Linked DNA regions of Lonchura striata. The protein of the gene in region 2 purifies or fractionates together with the protein of the main gene of each other region. This does not show direct contact. Links are inferred from orthologs where the notes say so. Each region holds a gene or a part of one and is shown on either strand. Other genes may lie near its edges.

Evidence for each region. Proteins that work in one complex are often made in the same cells at the same time.
Region 1: the proteins of RTN4 (region 2) and CYB5R3 purify together in Homo sapiens (affinity purification with mass spectrometry; 3 studies listed by BioGRID and IntAct, counting the BioPlex papers as one, with this or other methods). This does not show direct contact. The link is inferred for Lonchura striata from reciprocal best matches to the Homo sapiens genes RTN4 and CYB5R3.

The regions. Positions count from the first base shown.
Region 1 is NC_134607.1:1,831,487-1,842,220, forward strand, and holds the start of CYB5R3 (NADH-cytochrome b5 reductase 3), read right to left. Parts: upstream 4,786-10,734; 5' UTR 4,771-4,785; coding exon 4,750-4,770; intron 1,490-4,749; coding exon 1,358-1,489; intron 1-1,357. Other genes in the region: poly(U)-specific endoribonuclease, read left to right, coding at 8,945-8,997. UniProt on the Homo sapiens protein: Catalyzes the reduction of two molecules of cytochrome b5 using NADH as the electron donor.
Region 2 is NC_134605.1:27,221,711-27,231,764, reverse strand, and holds the start of RTN4 (reticulon-4), read right to left. Parts: upstream 4,658-10,054; 5' UTR 4,563-4,657; coding exon 4,115-4,562; intron 1-4,114. UniProt on the Homo sapiens protein: Required to induce the formation and stabilization of endoplasmic reticulum (ER) tubules. They regulate membrane morphogenesis in the ER by promoting tubular ER production.

The sequences.
Region 1 (10,734 bases), on a different chromosome or scaffold from region 2:
ATTAAAATCAGCCAGTTCCATTTCCCTGCCATCAGCAGGGACACCTTCCACTATCCCAGCTTGCTCAGAGCCCCATCCAGCCTGGCCTTGGACACTGCCAGGGATGTGGCAGCCACAGCTTCTCTGGGCAACCTGTGCTAGAGCTTCAGCACCCTCACAGGGAACAATTTCTTCCTTATATATAATCTAAACTTGCTCTCTGTCACTAGGAACCCATCCCCCCTTGTTCTGTCACTCCAGGCCCCTATCAAGAGTCTCTCCATCTTCCCTGTGGGTTCCCTTCAGGCACTGCAAGGCCACAGTGAGGTCACCCCAAAGCCTTCTCCTCTCCAGGCTGAACAATCCCAATTCCCTCAGCCTTTCCTGACCTCATGAGAAGTAGGGAGTCTGTAATAACAGTGTGGTTGCAGTACACCTGGGAAATAAACTCAGCAATGCAGCCCAGCCCAAGCCACAGGGAAGCTCTCAGTTCCCACAAACCCAGGATTCAAAATGACAGTATTTTTTTTTTGTTTCCTTTAACAGAACCAGTGAAAGCTAAGCTATCAGTGCACCCTCTAAACCTCAAATAAATTTCTGTTCGTGTCCAAAATCTTCTGATAAATTTCTGAATAGCTCATAGCTTTAAAAAATCAACACTAAAAATATCCTCGGGTGTGCTTTACACCTGAGAAGCCAAGATTTCTCTCTCATACTTTTGATGGTGGGTTTATCCAATGGAAACCTAGACTTTTCAACTTTGGTGGCTTTGGCTCACTTCCCACAAGCTTAGTTACCAATTTCTGATGGCAAGATCTGCCCTTGAAAGCATCATGACCTTCCTCTGGTATCCCACTTGATCAAGCATTTAAGTTTGTACCAGGAGGCTTCACTTTTAACAGAGAATAGAGAAGCTGAGACAGTTCGGGTGCTGTCAGGACTGCATGACTTAAACACCTTTCTTCCTGTAAAACATTACAGTACTTCAATCCAGTGATAGGAACCAGCATCAACATAGTTCTGGCAGCTGCTGTTGAATGCCACTGACCATGAAAAAGCTGCTTGCTCTGCCTGACTTGTGTCCCTTAGCCCAGTCAGAGGTGCAGAGTTTGAGAATTTCTGCTGATGCGCTCCACAATACGAGGCACACGTGACTGTGCCTTTGATCATTTCCAAGCAGCATTCTCCACTCTAAACTGTTTGGAAACAAGCTGCTTGCACAACTGCAAGTTACACCACACAAAGAGCTTTTATAAAGAAGTCCTTTCCTCAAGACAAAAGTATCCACCCTGTTGGGACATCACCCAAGACTTGGGAAGCTGTAAGCATTTCACAGCGCCCACTGAGAGGTCGTGCTCAGCACTGCACGTGCACTTACCTCCTTATCAATCAGCCTCAGTGCATACTTCACTTCTGGGTCCTTGAGGGTAATTGCAGGCTGGGGATTCCTGAAGAGCCTCATGAAGGTGGTGTAGATGAACCATATTGGGTATGTCACAACCTGACGCAACTGCAGCAGCACAGAAACAGCGTTAGACACGTGCAGAATGAGAGAGTGTGACAAGGAATAGGGGCCTATGCCATTGCACTCTAACCACCAGAAAGAATGTGTTTATTTGAGAAGGAAAATGAAGCATTATAAAAAGAAAAAAATCCCAAAGCCAAAGATTTGCTTTATGAAGACCTGGCATCACTCCTGTTTTGAGGCAACTGCACACCAGCACAGGGTTGCCATGCTGGCAGCTGGATACAAAGTGAGGCTGTCACAGCTCCATATCCCCAGGTGCCCTGACAGGGAGGCTGAATCCCCATCTCCAGCAGGCAGACAGACACACGTATCACAGAATATCCTGAGTTGAGAGGGGCCCATCAGGATCATCCAGTCCAACCCCACACAGGACACCCCTACAATCCCTGAGAACACTGTACAAATGTTCCTTGCACTCTGTCAGCCTTGGGGCTGTGATGAGTCCCTGGGGAGTTCCAGTGCCCAACCATCCTTTGTGGGGAGAACCTTTTCCTCGTACCCAGCCTGTGGCAGACCACACTGATCAACACAGCCAGACACACACAAACAGGGGCTCACCCTGCTCCCCTCCCCATGATCGGGATGAAGGTCCATGAGTGGCAATTCCATACACACATACCTGTATGAGGTGGATCCCCTGGCAGCTGGCTTTGCCCTGGCAGAGTGTGCCCCCTCTCCAGGCTCCCCAGCTGCTGCCATCTGGACACAAGGGCCACTGTTGCCCACACCCCTTCACAGGCCACCCCACGTGCTGCAGACACCCTGTAATTTGGGGTCTCATACTTGAGCACAGACCCTGTTCTCCCCCTGGCAGCTGAGCAGGGCTTTGCCAGCCATGCCATGCTGGTGCTGGCAGCATGCCCACACCCTCCAGCTCAGAGTTTGGGTGCAGGCACTGGCACTTCCACCACCACACAGAGCCCTGCATGCAGAGCAGCACCCCTTCCCTGGGAAAGCAGCTAAGTTGCAGGACACAGCCAGGGACAGCCCTTCTTGTGCCTTTACCATCATTTTCCCCACCTCTGAAGTAAGACAGGAACAGATTATGCTCCGACACCACACCACCCTCTCCACACTGGGGCAGGAGAATAAACTGCACAACTACTTATAAAAATCTTCTCTAACTCAGTAATTTATTAATCAACACTTGAACAGAGGAGAGAGGAAAAGCATTACCATAGCAAAAATAAAAAATGAGCTCAACATTTTACCTGCTTAGCCTTTACCTTCCTTTTATTTTAAAAGGACGTGAACAGTATTTTAGAATGGCATTTGTGCAACTATAACAGTCCCTCAAGAGGCTATAAAAACTTCCCACGCTATTAATGATAAAACTGTGGGACAGCACAAATTCTCTCTTAAAGTGCTGCTGTAAAGGTTTAAAATGTATCATCACTATGTATAGCCTGAGGGCACACCATGCCTTACACACACTTTTTAACGTCTATTTGGGAATACTGAAATAGCTCCATACATGTTGTTTCTGAAGAAGCTAAAGTTTACAGGAAACTTATTCCTTAACTCTCATAGATCCACCAAATTACTGCAGCTCTGGGAAGAAATTTTGGTATTGAGTCACAAAAAGGGGCAGAGGGAGGGAGGTTGTTCAAGGTGACAGAGCAGCAAGTAAACTCCTTAATGAGAAATTAACAAGTGAGTGAGGTCTGGAGGCAATAGCAACCTGACTCTGCAGCAGGTGTTTCAAACAAGACACTAATAAGTTAAAACAGTTTCATTTCCAAATGTGGCTATCTCAAGTGAACAAAAAAATAGAGCTGCTGCTGTTAGGCAATAATTTTAACATGGTGTTAACCTTGTGGAAAGACATTTGTTACTCATGGTCAATTAGTAAGTCTCATGGGATTTGGTCTGGAAAAACACAGCACACCCCCAGTTCAGAAAACTATTTTAGTCCCTTACTCATATCTATTACCAGGTGGGCAGAAAAATGGGGAAGAATTGAAGGCTGAATGATTACAAAAAGTCATGCTTGCTAGGAAAAGCATTCTCTGGGTTAAAAGTAGCCTATATACTCTCACCACAGGCCAAACCAAGATATAAATGAAGATAACTGCACAGCATCAGATCTCCAGCAGCAGAGAGCAACAGGCTGACCACAAGGCCTGGGAATCACCAAATGGGGACCCTGTGACTCATCATTTCCAGCTTCACAAATCTTTACAAACAGACAAGGCAGAATTAGTAACTGAGCAGGAATTTTTATTAATGGAAAGAGGCCTCTGTGTGATAACAGGCAGAAAAGCCAGGGAGACTGCACTGCCAGGGCGTGGTGAGCACAACACTGTCCAACACACAGGCTCAGAGCTCGACACCCCAGCACTGCCCTGCCCTGCAAACACACAAACCGAACCCTGCTTCGGCATGAGAAGCATTGTACCCTCAGCTTCAAACACCCTGCTTTTGAAGTAATCGCAGCTCACAGATTATTCGCATGTGTTTCAGAAACCAGCCAGAGGATAACGGGATTTCTTCACCTCGGCAGCTTTAGCCGCATCTCCCCTGTTCAAAGCACTTAGGAGCAGCTGTTCCCAAAGGAGAGTATGTTGAATCCAGCTCCATCCTGCCTCCTCAGAAACCCGAAGAAAAGTGTTTGAGCAGAGGAGCAGAGAACCGTGACAGGCAGCTGAGAAAAGAGGGTAAGGATGCCTGGCAGAGGTGACAGCTGCAGTCCCACGGCCCAGCCAGCACGGTCACAGGCAGAATCGTGGGATGGTTTGTGTTGGAAGCGACCTTAAAGATCTTCTCGTTCCAACACCGTGGGCACGGACACCTGCTAATAGGGACACTATTCCAGCTGCTCTGAGCCCCATCCAGCCTGGCCTTGGACACTGCCGGGGATGGGGCAGCCACAACTCCGCGTAATGCGTGCCAGGGCCTCACCACCCTCACAGGGAACAAATTCTTCCTCAGAGCCACTCCAAACCTCCGCTCCTACAGCCTGAAATTATTCCGGCGGCGGAAAACACCACAAGCCTTCAGAGCCCCAAACACTAACAACAACAAGAACAGACACCCGCGGAGCTGGGAGGGCAGAACGCCGCGGCAGGGCAGCCAGCACAGGCACCACCACCGCGCACCGCGGGACGGCCCCGGAGCCTCCGCAGCACCGCGCGGCCCCGGGCAGCGGGGACACCGGGACACCGCCCCGCCCCGGAGCGCTGCGGGCGGAGCCGGGGCTGCGCAGGAAGGGACCCCGCTCCCGGCCGCCCCCCGGCACTCACCACGCTGAGCTGCGCCCCCATGGCTGCCCCGGCACACCGCGGGCCGCGCCCCGCCGCGCCCGGGGCCGTCCCACGCCGCGAAGAACCGCGCCGGGCCCGCCCCTCTACGTCACGCACAGCCCCGCCCCCGTGACGTCACGCGCGGCGAACTGCGCCTGCCCGCCCCGCCCCGTGACGTCACGGCCGCGCTGTGTGAGGGCAGCGCCCCGAGCGCCCTTCTGCGCTTTGTCCGCTGCGGGAATGGCGCGGCCTGCTGCCGGCTTTAAGCATTTGCCACACCACCCAGTGCCACCCCCGCCACGGGCACGGACACCTTCCCCTTGCCTAGCTGGCTCTGAGCCACATCCAGCCTGGCCTTGGGCACTGCCGGGGATCCAGGGGCAGCCACAGCTGCTCTGGACACCCTGTGCCAGGGCCTCAGCACCAGAGAACAATTTTTCCTTATACCCAATCTAGCCCTGCTCTTTGTCAGTGTGAAATCATTTCCCCCTTGTCCTGTTGTTATAAACGAAAATTTGTCCAGCCACATTAAAATGAAAAAATAAAATATTTATTTTGCAATCCAATTCTATCTATCCAGCCACAAGGAAAGAACAGAGCCGAGCCCGGGGCTGGCCCTGGGTGTGCAACAAGGAGTCAGCCTCAGCAGAGGTTTTCCTCTGTGCCCACACGCCTCCATCCCGGTACAAGCAGTTTTCATAGGGAAAATTCCCCGAGGCCAAGATTTTTGCAATCAGTCTTTTCTTCCATTCAGAGTCCATAGGTTAATAAGATTTTCTTTTTTGGTGATGAAGAAGAACAATTCAGTGTCTGGAGTTGTTGGATCCCTTGATGAAGTTTACGGGAACCCTGCATTCACATGTATCTGCCCAAGGATTTCCATGATACTCATCTCTGGGAATCCTGTATCCCTCCAGACATGGCCCATCTCCTGGCCTGGCCAAGTCACATCCTTTTACTTGTAAATCAGATTTCAACATACACCAGGTTTTGCCTGTGAGGGTTGGGGGGACTCCTAATACAAATGTGTATACTCCAACAAATAGTCAATATCACATATATCATACTAAAAATGGCACAAATTAGATCTACTACACGTAACACTCACTCCAGGCCCTCGCCAAGTCTCCATTTTTCCTGTGGGTCCCCTTCAGGCACTGCAAGGCCACAGTGAGGTCACCCCAAAGCCTTCTCTTCTCCACGCTGAGCAATCCCAGTTCTCACGGCCTTAAGAATTAATTAGCAGCAATGTTTATCCAAAAAGCACCAGAACTGAGCTGTGCAATAAGATATAGTTTCAGCCAGGCTCCCTTAAATTTTGCTTACACCAATGTGTGAAAATCAGTGACTAATAACCACATGTGTCTTTGTGTCTGTGCAAAACATGAAACACTTCAAATCTCTTTAATTACTTTGTCTTCACATATTATGTCTTCGCAATATGCCTTCAATGATTCCTCGACAGTTTCTCACAAAATATGCCTGGCAGTCCTAAAAATAAAATAATAAAAAAAAGTCTTCCCTTATCCCTTAGGCCCACACAGAGGTGCTGAGCCCCGGTGAGCCCAAGCAAATATTTCCTTTCATCCTCATGATTTGCTGAGTGGGAACCTGGCTCATCTGGCTGCGAGAACATATCATAAGTCCATCATGATTTACTTATTAAACCTGGGAATTAGCACTAGGAAGTGAAAGAATACTAACAGACTAACCTAATGCTAAGAAGGTTGTGCCTCAGTCCAGGTATGCACATTTAGCTGCAGGGATGGAGTTATTTATGCCTCTTTTTTCCTATGACAAGAGCATGCCTGGCTCTGTAATCCTCATGGTTTTCTCTTTCAGGATGAAAGCTGCTGCATCTGAAGCTCCCCAGTAAGTGCAGGGATTGTAAATACCACTGGCTACAGAGAAGGACTCCAGGGGGAGTCTGGGAGGCTAAGGCAAAGGGAGATAACTGAGACAGGCACAGGGATCCTGGAGTTTGGTGCCAAAAAATCTGGCAGGAGAGGCTCCAACTTGAATATTAATATTTAAGGAAGGGTGGAGACCTCGGTGTACCCATGTTCTGCTTTCACTATGCTCTGACCTGGCTGGCTTTCAAGTGACCAGCCCAGGATGTGTCTCCACTGCTTTTCAGTGTGTGTCAGCTTGTGGAGACTTGGCAGCAATAGTCAAAACTCCCATGGGAATGTCCAGCATCCTCAGTGTCTCATAAACTTTCCTCTTTCTGTGCAGAATGTAACCCAAAGACCTGCTCTGCCTTTTCCTGGGAAAGGACTGAGTGTGCTGTAGATCTGCAGGGTGTTTGTTCCAGCTGGCAGCTTTCACTCAGTCTCCCTGAATGAGCCTGTCCAGCCCAAACCTGCTCTTTGTGCTGGTGTGAGCCCTGCCCGCTTTGGTCTGGAAGCCTGTAAAACTCAGTGTTCTCACTCACGCCTCTCTAGATTGACCAAAGAGGTTTAAATAACTCTTTCTCCCCTCAAGGAAGTGTAAGCACCAGACTAGAAGTGACAAACCAACACTTACTCGTTGGCCACCTTGACTGGAAAAGCAAAATATTTAGGCCAAAAATGCACAGAGATGCCTACATGCTTTAGAAACATGTTTAATTCCCAGGATCTCCTTGGTCCTTTACGTTGGCAAAGGTCAGCATCTGATGCTTGAGGTGCTGGTTTTGTCAGGCAGAACTTCTAGAAGTTTTTTGCCCTACTCCTTTGGAAATGCTGGGTACGTGTGAGTGAGCACCAAACACTCCTCCCATTCCCTTGGGACAGAAAAAGAGGAACAGAGCACAGAGGCAGCCTGGCCCCAGCTCTTGCACAAAAACCACGTCCGCTGCTCTGTGCAATGGGTTTGACAAAGCTCTGGCTGGGCTCTGCTGCAGAGGAAGCCAATATTTGTAATAGCACCCATGGATACCAAGGCTGCTCTTGGCACATTCTCTTTTTCTGTGTTAGACCTGTGAATGACCCAGAGTCTGTACTGATCTAATTTGCCTTCGATTAGTGTTTAGTTTCTGTCAGCAAACACACTCTTTCACTCTCCTCAGGATCTCTGCGTTTTTCTTATAACAGTGTCCAAATCAAAAGACAGAAATTGTAAAAGACATACAAGTACACGGTTGGTTGTGAAATTGCTGGTGATGCTACTGAGCTGTAATCTTATTAAAGATGAACTTAAATTCATTGACTTCAGTGATGATGCTGCTTGTAAGTGAAAATTCCCTAGGCTCCCATCTGGGCTCTTTCTGCTAGTGTGAGTAAAGAAGTTGCAATTTTTTAATAGACAGAATATGCCCACTAGCTTTTGTATTTTAAATGAAAGCATAAGAGTTCCTGCATTCAGTTGATAAACTGGGACAGTTGACAAATCCAAGGCACTGGATTTTCATTATTTACCTTGTTTACCCTGAAGTGCAATAAATACTAACCAGATGGTAAAGAAGATTTCTGTTAAAATTAAGGATATTCAGTTTTGAGATGGTTTAATTTCTCCTACTAGTGTCAGAAGGAAGCTTCACTTTTAAGTGTTTTAAGTGGGCTGCATATCTTGTTCCCTGTGCAATTTTGTGTGTCTTCATCACCAGGGGCTTTATTTAGCCCTAAATTGGTTCTTTGAAGGGGTTCATGGACCAGAGGTGCAAAAGCACTTGTAAGACTGGTATCTAGCATCAAGCCATTCTGGCTTCTCTACATACATATATCTAGTTTAGACCTAAAGCTGTGCTTTTCAGAAATTAATTATGATGAAGAAGAAGATATCACAAGTACCAACCAAACAACAATAAGCTTTAAACCATCTGAGGGTTGATTTAGCCACAAAATGAATGCAAGATTCCCAGGATAGGCACCAGCACCTGCCACCACTTGTTTCCAGTGGCACATGGAAAGTTCTCCCTTTCTAGAACATTTCTCGTTTATAACACCTTCTAATATTCACAGGATCACACGTAGCAGTTTCAGCTCTAAATAGAGATGCATTTGTTGGGTTTTTTCCCTTCACCACCTTTGATTTTTTTTTTTTTTTGATCTCAGATTAATTATCGTCTTCCCTTCTACTGTCAAATAAAAACTCGATACAGAATAAACAGGACTAGAATGTCCTGTCCACTTCAAAGCTTTCAGACTTGCAGTGCTTGTTTCTGGGCTAAAACTTCATCCAGAGACATAAAAATCCATTTGGCAAATAATCCATGATGCAAGACAAAGTGAGGCAGGAGCCTGCTACAGGTGCCTCTGACTTCCTGGTGTGAGTGTTCCTGCACTGAGAGCGCTGTGAGTTGTGGCGCTGTCCTCAGACTCTTGTGGGAATTGGCACCTCCTGCCTCTCCTGTGCCTTCCTGCCAGGCTGAGTGACAGTCCTCAGTGGGCAGGAGGAGCATAAGGGGAGCACAGCTCGTGCCTTGGACTACGGGAGGATTGCTGAGCTTCTGGCTTCTGCCTTCTCCCTGCTCAGAGTATTTCCCAAGAGAAAAACTTCTTCCTGGCATGGCAAGTGGGTAAGAGATAATCATACTAATTCTCCTCTAACAGGCAGGGTAGGGGGGATGAGATATATTTTTCTGTAAAAAGGGTGAACATTACATGACATGCAGCACAGCAAGAACCTTCTTCCTCTTTCTGTTCTGTTTTAGTGACTCACTGTAAATCGGTGAGGCTACTGAATCTCTAGCTTAAAATAAAGGTGATGCCAAAATGAGATTGTGCTTAAATATAGTTGGTAACTCAGAATCAGTTCTTCAAACATCAGCTGCCTGCCCAGGACCTTGACAGATTGTTTCACTCTCATGTTTGCCCCTTGACGTTGCCTTTTCCTTTCCACATACAAAACCTGCCTTATGTATCTTTTGGTATTTCAAATACCAGCTTTAAATGGAAAAAACAAATCACTGGACTTAAACAGAAGACATAGACACTAGCATAAGATGAAAATCTAGAGAATTGTTTCTATCTTCTGTTAGCCATAAAAGCTGTAACATGTATTTCACAACATTTGAACCAAGTTTTTTAAATGATTGGAAACTTCTTGTAAATGGCTGCTCATCAGGTGTTCCAAATTCTTTTCTTCTCTATGTAAATGTTAAAGGCTTTATAAAATTGCATGCCATTGAAAGGATCTTTGAAAGTAAATTTACTTTGGAGAAGGTGTTCAATCAGACCTTATTTGCAGGGCTTCATGTGACCCATTCACAATACCTGTTCTTCTTGCTCTAACACTCTTGACTTGCTCACATTATTTGTCACTGACCTTTAATTCTTTTCATGTCTTGAATAATTTCTGATTTATAGTAATAAAGTCTTCTGCTTGGAGCATTGTTTTGGGTGGAATGAAGAATAAAACTGAGATTCTTTGACTCTAAACACACTGCTAGTGCATCAGTTGCTATTGCAAAGAACCTCTCCCAGGTTTTCTCAGCTCTTACAGTGCAGACTGAGTGTTGTTACTGGGGTGGTGCTTTGCTCACGTAAGCACATCCAAGCAAGGCTCCAAATGGACAAAATCCAATTGGCCAGACTTCTCACACAGAAATAATTAATTCTATGTGAAGGCATAAATCTAACAACTCAGAGCTTTCACCATAGGGAAGGGACTGAGAATTGATGATAAAAATCTGTTTTGAGTCACCCATGTCATTGTGTTGCAAACCAGGGAGAAAATACACAATACCATTTTCCAGGACAATCTTACCTACATGCTGGTGTGTCATGGATTTCCATGAAGTTGTTTGGCATCTTCTCATTGAAGTTGTCTCACCTGGTATGTGTAAGCTAAGTTTATGGCCCTTTTTAAAGAGATACTATCCAGAAAGAGTTTTTACAAGATGACTGTATAAGTTGCTAGACAAGTTTTTCGCTTTGGCAAGGGTATTTTTTTTTTTTTTTTTTTTTCCTCAGTTGCAGCATAAACAGGTGCTCTCTCTGTTTGGAAACTAAAGGTACAACAAAAAAGGAGAGGAAAAGTCCATGATGATATTGTGGTAGCACC
Region 2 (10,054 bases):
AGAAATTCTTTACACAGAGATGTCAGTGAAGGGGGCCCATAAAAAGTTACTGCCTCCTTATCAGAAAAGACAAACATTCTTGCACCTTCTCTCCATCTTTATGGAACCACCAAAATTAAGGAGAAGAGGTTGACAAAAACCAGAAAAGTTCTTAATTTGCAAGGATTTTATGCATCATGTATGAATATATGAATATGCAACAGGCTATTGCTTTAAGGTGATTCCTTTGTTCACAAGGTATGCTTTTCATGACCTAGAGAGCATCATCCGGATGTCCGTAATTCTTGGCTTTTTATTGTCTTGTAATCGTCCTAACTCTATTACCCTAATTGTATTACTATTTTTGTAACCATTTTATTATTATTAAACTTTCAAAATTTTAAAAAACCAAGTGATTGGTGTTTTTCACAATATTTTAATAAATGAAGGGTGCAAATGAAAGTCACCAGTGATAGCATTCAAACACAGCTCTGTTTTTTTCCAAGTCATGCTGCATCCTGTCCTTAAAATGCACACAACTCCTCTGAAGGAGTCCCTGCAGACACAGCAGCACAACAGAAAAAATCTGAGGAGCAAATACGCTGGTTTAGAATTTATATCAACTGCAAACGCAGGATGAGCAGGGTAAAAGGTTCACTTGCTGGGGTGAGCAGAAGCAAGTATAGATCTGCATTTATTCAGGACCTCCTGCGGCTGGGCTCAGCCTGGCCAGGGACAGCTCCAGGCAGCTCTGCTGACCTCTGCTTGACACTGTCTGGCAAACCTTCCTGAGACCTCTCCTCAGCATGGATGAAATTAAAGAAAAAATCCTATATAATCACATAGAACAGCAAGACTAATTAATAAACTGGCCCTCCACAACGTTTGCATATGTATTTAACCCAGGTCAGCTGAAGGCAACAGACATACAAGGAAACATCTTTATTCTCTCTGCATGCTGGCCTAGGGCCAGTCTGGTGGATCTCGTGTACAGGCTTCTGGTTAAGTGCAGTTTAATGTCAAAACACACTAGTCTCTTCCAGAAAAATGATATATGACCCTCCTTTTGCTGCAGAATCTAGGGCTTGGAGAAGTAAAGTGGGATCTACTCATCATAGTACACTGGTTATTCTTACTTTGGGCAGCTGGCAAAAAAAAAAGGGCTACAAATTACTTTGACCATGTATACCTACCTCAAACTGACTTTTTTATTCCACCCTCTGTAAATTCAGGTAAACAAAAGATTTAAGCAGTAATCTCTCCAGAACTGTAGTTTCTCCTACTCACAAAAAAGCAAGTGCAAAACCCCCAAAATTTGTTCAGGAGAACCCAAGTTTGTCCATCTATTTGTTTTCTCCTGCAAATATTTTTATTAGCTCTTCAGAAGGTAGGCTGCTGCTACCCTTTCAGAGACTTGCATTATATATAATTATGTCACAATGATACTAAATACTCTTAAGTGTGTAACTAAAAGCAATTACAAAGGTTTTCTTTTTTAAAAACAGCTCCATATATACATAAAATCCATTTCAATGAGCCATCAATAGGCAATACATTTTTGCTACTGTTCCACTGCCAAAAGGCAGCACCATGGCCAATTGTTGCAGACAAAAGAAGCCCTACTATTTCCTGCTACAGGCCATACTCTCTTCCTCCTGGAAACAGAATTCAGAGTTATCTGCCTCAAATCCTCATAAATGAAAGCATTAGATTTCAAATATTAGGAGATTTTTTTTCAAAATTTCTAGATTGTGAATTGTAACTCTTCAGTTATACCTTTAATTCAAACAGCAGAGTTCAAAGTAAGTGAAATGACAACTCTGCAGAGAGCAAACCACAGGGCACGTGGCTGTCCCTGCCATGGTCACCCTGCCACCAGCTGCAGGCAGAAAATTCATTTTGCAAGTCTCCCAGCATGACTGAGAGTGAACTCATTTGAAGCCAAGCCAAATATCTTCACCCAGACAGTTTTAACACCCACTGCTAAATGCAAAACTAACAAACATTTGGTGTTTAAATGGATATTTAACACTATGAGATTTGAGAAGGCCAAAATACTCATGAGATAACCTGGCAGTGCTTTTAGCAACGTAATTTGCTCTCATCCAGGAGTTTCAAGTACAGAGTCCTAATATTTCAACTCATCATTAGATGAGCATTGTGTTACAACACCTTGTCTTTGGAAATCAGGCCTCCCCCAGATGCCAGTCCTTACTTCAGAGCCCTAAATTAATCATCACTGACAAATTAAAATAACTCCTTGATGCTACTTCTCAGCTATACTACACAATTCTCACAGTTAGGTCTCTAACACGGAACTATTTCAGGAATTACTGTGCTCTTTTTGCCTTATCCTTCAGGGGTCAGAGAGAAAAAAAAAAAATCACTTCCAGAAAACGCACTTTCATCCCTCCTTTTCAAAGCAACATGATTTGGTAGATCCTATTTCTTCCATTCAGCTCTCTTTAAACCATACAGAGCTCTACTCAGAGAACATGACTAGAAAAAATTCTGTTCATCCACCATATAGAATCCCTCCTCTTCAGTCTGTTGCAAGCTTTTGTCATCATCTGTCCTTCAAATGGTGGAAACAAAAAAAAAATTAATATCCTTGGCATACTGCTACATAGAAAGCTTCCAGAAGAACAAAACTAAGTAGGCTTCATGAAAGACAACAGCACAAGTAACCATAAAGTCCCATCACGCATGCAAATAAAATGCATTATGAAACTTCCCTGAAAAAAACTAAATTCAGGTTTTAACAGGCCTTTTTAAAAATTATTGTTCCAGATGCTTTTTTTCACTAGATCCTGAGTATCATGCCCCCTCATACTGTGGTGTTTAGTTATTATTGAAATCCTGCATCTTTACAACATACCAACACCACAACAGCAATGAAGATAAGCACATACCATGATGATCTCAGGGCACTTGAATTTGTTCCTTTTCACTGTTTTAGTGGCCCCAAGTCACTTCTTTGACTTAAGGAGAAGTGGAGCCAAAGCACACTCGAGATCCGCATGCATGGCATTAGTCATGCGGGTCAGCTCTCGGATAAGACCTAAGAAGGGCTCTGGCAGTTGGGCAGCACCAGCAATTGTTGGGGGGTGACACGCCCTCCACTCCACAGGCCTGTGCTTCGGAGAATCCCCACACTACGGGGAGACGCCTTGGAGAAGCCCCAAGTAACAGCCATGGCTAAGCCGCGGCCATCCAGGACGCGAGGCTGCCATTCTTCTCCAGGACTGCCACACCTAGAGCAGCCCGGTCTCCCTTTGTGCTGCTACACATTCCTCCCTAGGTCACCGGTTCCCTCCTTGGGGCTCAGCCCCGCAGTCCACGGCCGAGGCGCGGCGTCCCCACGCAGGCTGCGGGCCGCAGGGCTGTGCTGGCCAGGTGGAGGGCCGGAGGCTCCGCAGTCCGTCGCCTCGCCCCTCCCTCCAGGCGCTGCGTTAAACATGAATAAGACTACAAGTATCTTATGTTTCTCTCCTCTCCGGCGCTCCCACGCCCGAACCCGCAGTGCCGGGCCGCCCTGGAAGGAACCGCGCTTGGGACAATGCGGCGAGAGGAGGGTTCTGCGCCGGGAGAGAACCGGCTGGAGCAGCGAGGACGCCGCGGCCGGTGCCTCGGGACTCGGCCGGTCCCCTGGGCACGGCCGTCCCCGCGGGGCTCAGCCGGCATCCCGGACACGGCCGGCCTCCCTGGACTCGGCCGGTACGCCGGGCTCGCCCCCCGCCCACCCGCGACGCGGCCGTTGCCAGGCGGCGGCGGCCTCGCCCCCGGGTGGCCCATGTGCGAGGCGGCGGCGGGGCGGCGCTTCGCCCTCCCGCCATTAGCATAACACAGAGGGGAGGAGGAGGGAAAGAGAAGAAATTACAATAAAAAAAAAAAAAAGAAAAAAAAAAAAAAAAGAAAGAACGGGGAGGGGGAGCCCTTTCTCCAGCATGGGCTGCGGCAGGGCCGCGCCCGAGCGCGGCTGAGGGGAGGGAGCGATGCCGCAGGAGGCGGCCGAGGGCCGGCAGACAAAGGGAACCTCCCGGCGGGGCAGCGGGGCTCGAGAACCGGAGCGGCTCGGGTGGAGGCTTCCCCGGCCGGCCGCCGCCCTCCCCGGGCCCGGGGCGGGAGCACTCACCAGCTGAGCTGGAGGAGGACCCTCTGCTCCGGGGGGCAACAGCAGGCTCGGGCTTGGGCGGCTGGGGTTGCGCGGGCCGGGCGGGGGCCGGGATCTGCTCCTGCGCGGGGGACGGCGTCGTGGCAGAGGAGGAGGAAGAGGACACAGCTCCCCGGGGGCTCCAGTCGGGCTGCGGCGGCTCCGGAGCAGTAGGGCGGGGCGGCTCGGCGGGGCCACCGAGGTCCAGCAGCTGTGGCGGCCGCTCCTGCGGGGCTGCGGCGGGAGCCGCGGCAGGCTTCCTCTCCATCACCTCCAGCTGCTCGTCGAAGTCTTCGTCCTCGTCTTCCTCTTCCTCCTCTTCCTCCTCCTTCTCGTCGTCGAGCACGAACTGGTAGTTAAACTGTGGCTGCTGCGGCCGGGCTGGCCCGGAGGAGGAGGAGACCAGGGGCGACTGGTCCAGCTCGTCCATGGTGCCTGGAGCGGGCGGAACAATGAGTAGTGCGGGAGCGGGGGGAGGCGCAGACTGCGCTGCCGCCGCCGCTGCGGGACCCGCACTCCACGCCCTGTGAGTCACCGCCCGGGAGGCGCGGGCGCGGCCGCCCCTCCCCGCGCCCGGAGCGGCGGCGGTGCCAGCCAATGGGAGAGGGAGAGAGCAAGAAGCAGCCAATGAGGAGCAGGCTCGGGCGTGGTTCTTATGAATATGCATCAGATGGGCGGGCCCGCGGGCTGGCGGAGCGGGGCTGACAAGTCGGGTAAAGTTCAGCGCGGAGAACGCGGGTGGGGCGGCAAAGGAGACGGGGCACGGCCCGGGGCCCCTCCAGCCCCCCGTGACAGAGCCTGGGAGCGCGTGGCCTGATTCGTCGCTCTTCTCTGCCAGGACTAGTGCCATTCTCTCTTTTTTTTGTTGTTTTAAACAGCGGCCATAAACCCTCAGCGATTTCCAGAAAGAGATGGGGATGGCTGGGCTCCCGGGTACGGATGGCGCAGGACACCGATCCGCCCTAGCCCGGCTTCTCTCACCCTGGATGTGACCGAAGGATCCCTCGGCATCCCGGGCGGCGCAGCACTGCGGGGCCAGGGAAGGGTGAGGCGCCGTCCCGATCCCGATCTCGTTCCTTGGGCATCGCGCCGATCACCGCAGGCATATCCCCCTGGGGCGGGAAGTGGAGTCAGCCAGCGCCTTCCTGCGATGGGAATTGAAGTTTTAACCAAAACATGATGCAAAAACCTTCCCGTGTCTGAAAAAAAAAACACCAGAGAGGAGACATTGTCAGAAGAGATAAACCTGTTTAACCACCTATGCTAGTCCTATGAACAGACCTCATCGTCTCTTTAGAGTATGAATTTAAATTGTGTGACTTCTGCGAGAAAGAATGGAAAGGAAAAGAAAAATGAAAGGAGAAAAATGAAAGGAAAAAGGAGAAAGGGAAAGGAAGAGGAAAAGGGAGGAAAGGAAAGAGGAAAGGGGGAAAAAGGGAGGAAAGGAAAGAGGAAAGGGGAAAAAAGGGAGGAAAAGAAAGGGGGAAAAGAAAGAGGGAAAAGGAAAGAAATTAAGAAGGAAAGAGGAAAAAAATGAAAGGAAAAAAGAATAAGAGAAAGGAAAGTGGGAAGGAAAGGGAAGAAGAAATTTAAGGAAAGAGGAAAGGGAGGTAAAAAAAGAGGAATGGAAAGAAGTAAGGAAAGAGGAAAGGGAGAGCAGAAGAAAACCTGCCTCGTGTTAGACTCTGGTGTGGTCTCCAGCTTTCTGCTCAGAGATGGAACATTGGCCAAAGCCCTTAGGGTAACACTTAATTTAAGTAAATAACATCTATTTGGATGCAATTTCCACCCACACAGCTGCCTCAATAAGACCAAAAGGCCTTATAATTCTATATTTAACATTACTCCAACATTATTATGGGTTTTTAACCCACAGGTGATTTATTCTCCCGTATAAAGAGATAAGTTCATGGAAACACTCAGAGCAAGCAGCTGCCAGTTCAGTGAGACATGAGAAGATAAGAAAAAGAAGCAGCTCTCCTGGCACTTCCTTTCTGCCATGTAGGATGCCATGGATGCGAGAGGGACAATGTGAGCTGTCCCATTAAGCAGTGACTGACAGCCTGGAGCAGGAGAAGCTCCTGAGTGGGATCAGCTCAGTGCACCTGAGCACACGGAGGGACTGAGGGGCAGCTGCATCTCACACTGCAGAGGGAAGAGCTTCTGGCTGGAAACTGGGGTTCAATCACCAGCTTCAGTCACTGTCTGAAAAATGAGATGGCAACAAGTGAATATAGGGGCTCCAAGAGGTCCCAGCACTGAGTCCTCTCTTGCCTCAGGAAAACAAATTGTATTCTTTGCATGAACAGTCTGAACCTAAATATTTGTGCTGCTATTAGTATTGGGAAGGCCATTCTAAGATACCCCATTTTCTAAATGACAAGAGACCTTCCAGCTTCCAGTCCTAATTTGCTCAAGGCCAAGGTACAGCCTCCTACCACTTTTCCCTTTAAATTATTTTATCTGAATTTTAATTCCTAAGAATACACATTTCCCAGCCCTTGCTTTCCAAAGCTAACACTGGAGAAGCTGTGCTGTCACCCTTTCCCCTGCTCCTCCAAGCAGCTTTTCCCTGCATCCAATACAGTCTCAGATCAGGCACAGGAAATTCCAGATGAGATTTTTTTTTTCAAGAATGTACAAAGACATCAAGATTCCATATCACTACCAGAAATTACCAAAATAAATGCGCAAAGTATTTTTGTAAACACATTGAGGGCAACATTGTTATTCTGATTGAGATAGATGTTTCCAGCAGGTGAATAAGCCCTTGACAAACTGTGAGGTCTTTAGATGCCATTTTTTGCCCCTAAGATCTTGGACATTCATTGACAAATTATCCATTTATCTTTTCAAGTCAGCCCCTCTTACAGTGATATAAGGGATGCTACAGCAGCAGCAGAATGGTGACATAGCAAATAAAATACTTTGATTAAATAAGGTCTTTATAATTTCACCAGCAAATCTACTTTTTGCACCTCTTGGTTAAATAAGAAAATGGATTTTTTAAATTCCATTACTATATAACTTAATGTAACAAGGTACCTTTAAAAATTCATCAAATTCTGAGCATAGACACATATTTAGAGATGTGACATATTTAACTATGGGGATTTTTGGTCATTACAAGAAGGAAAAATCTATATATAATTTGGCTGATTTTATCAGAATTCTTGGAAGACTTTCTATCATCAATTAGGAACAAATGAAAGGAGTTTTTATTTAGAGACAGGAAGTGACTAAAGGTCTTGGGGGGAAACAGGAAGGGAGTTCCATATTCTCTGAGCGAGTCAAATTAACAAGCAAGAGAAAACCAGAGATCTGTAATACTGAAACTATTGCAAAAGAGCAGGTTTTAGCTCTTTAGAAAAGTATTTTACAATTCTGCTAGGAAGATTGTCAACAAGTAGGAGTATTTTGGAGATATTCAGCAATTTATTTTACTTAGAACTTAGTGAAAATTTAGTTTTCATGAGCTGTTTTCTTGTAGCAAAGTTAGGAAAGAAAGAGAGAAACCCCAGTGGGGATGTTTCTGAATTTCCACAGCAGTGCTGCCAGTGGTTACATACTGGTGGGATTTTGTCAGTCCACTCTGACCTTCTGCTGTATCTTACACAGAAGTAATATGATATCACAGCAGATCATGAACTAAGATAATAATGGTGGTAGGACAAATGCAGTACTGTCACTTCACAGCAGGACCCAACAGAAAAAACCCACATTTGGCCTCAGATAGCGATTTTAAAGGATGGATTTAAAATTGCGAGGGTGGCTGGATTTCAGTCCCTCCTTTTAAGCTTTAAGGACAATCGCCCAGGTTTCAGACATAATATCTTTATCTCTGGAAGGATAAAACTGGAATTCTTTGTTTTCAGATTATGCCAGTGCTGAATCGAGCAGATTTGCCTCACAGGTTTGTCTTCACTTGAACGCCTGGTGTACTTCTTTTCAAGATTAGCAGTGGCATATTGTGAAAAAAACTGCTTAGTTTATTAATACAAATGCAGCATATAGAGGGGGGAAAGTGTGAAAACAATAGAACAAAGGGATTTCCATCTCTTGATGGTAACTGAGCCAGGCTGGGTTTATCAGAATCTTCTGTGGTGCCTTCCTTGTCCTCTGCTATAAATAACATTTTCTTAATTATAACTTTTCTACCCTGTTATATTCTTTAGTGCTCCAATAACTTATTATTCTGAAATTATTTGATTGGAATCAAACATATCCATTTCTACAGTAAATGTCCCACTAACCATGTCAATATACAGTACTCTGATTCAGACCTGTCACAATACACCCTGTAGAACTTCCTTCAGCCAGCCAGATGCTGAGCCCATCCATCTGCATGAAAGAGAGCAGTTTCAGGAGAGCTCTAAAAGACACCAAGTGCCACCAGTGAAAAGTTGCCATTAATTGTAGCTTTAAATTCCTACATCCAGGTAATTTCTGGTCTCTGTAAGCTGTCATTCAGAGGGACCAAAGCTGATATATGCCATTAAAATGATGGCACACATTAGCTTTAAAACAGTGAAAAAGAACACATTTGTTCATAAATAAAATATGTAACATTTGAAGGGAACTAAAACAATGACAATACTCTCCAGTAAATGAGACTATGACATGAATAACTTACCTCACTAAAGCTGCACAGGGATCCACTGTTAATGGGAATTTGGTCTGATTACTCTTTATCTCAGAAAGAACACCTTTGGTCTTGCTTAAAGGACAATACAATTAATTTTATGTCTTACTGACACCCCCAGAATTTTCTAATCCTCAGAATACATGTAATTCCCCACATTAGGTTTAATGTCACTACTTGTCAGCCCCTCACACTTTTAAGAAATACAATTAAATTATTCACTTACCAGTTTGGCCATAACACTCTCAAGGAACATAAGGACCATCAGTTCTATTGGATCTAGACAAAAAAAATCCATTCTCTATTAACAAACAGCTCCAGATATTATCAATTACTTTTTCTAATTCATGTTCCCCCCTCCTAATTTTTATTTTAAATCATCTCCACATTCTGACTCCAGGTACTGATGCCACTCACTCAGTGACTAGAACTTAAAACAACAAGAATGAGCACTCTAAAATCATGGCATTTTATGTACATTACTTTAGGAGCTTTTTTAAAACTTAGGGATTTATTACAGTTATAATAAATTGGAATTTAAACTGGTTTGCTTTGTAAAGTGAAAAGTGTATATAATGTATATTGGAGATCAATTTTTGCTCTTTATCAGCATTGATATTGACCCACTTAGGAAAGAAACAGCCTGATAATCAACATTCAGGATTATTCCCTTGGCTGCCAAATGTGCCCAAGGAGAAAACAAACAGATTGATGGGGGCAACATTTTTACCATTACTGGAGACAAGGCTGATGGCATCACTATTGGAATTAGGAAACTTAATTATACAAGCAAAGTGTGCAGAGGGAGCAGCACATAGATCTGAACTCACATTTGTAAGGAAGAGCTGCTGTTTTCCAGAACTTTTCTCACTTTTTAACAACTTGTCCCTTGCAAATGCTTTTAGCAGGCTATAGCAGCTAGAGCCTTCACCTGGGTCATGGTGGTACTTGGGGCCACAGAGCATTTCTGACTTCTGGGGATGGAATGTAGGGCAGCTTTGAAAAACACTACCAGGACTGAGGCTTCTTTCTTAGAGTATTTAGGGAGCTCTTCCTTTTATCTGGGTCAGACAAAGATAGGACAGCTAAGAAATGTCCAACATGACTTCCCTGCTTTCTCAGTATCACATCCAGCTGGTCATACATTGAAGCCCTTTACCTCCCTCACCTTTCACCAATTAAAATATTCCAGCTTTTGAACACTTCAGGCAAATTTTAGTTAACTATGGCAGTGGCAGAAGATTCAAGGATATTGATTTCCTGAGTTTTGTAGAAACCAG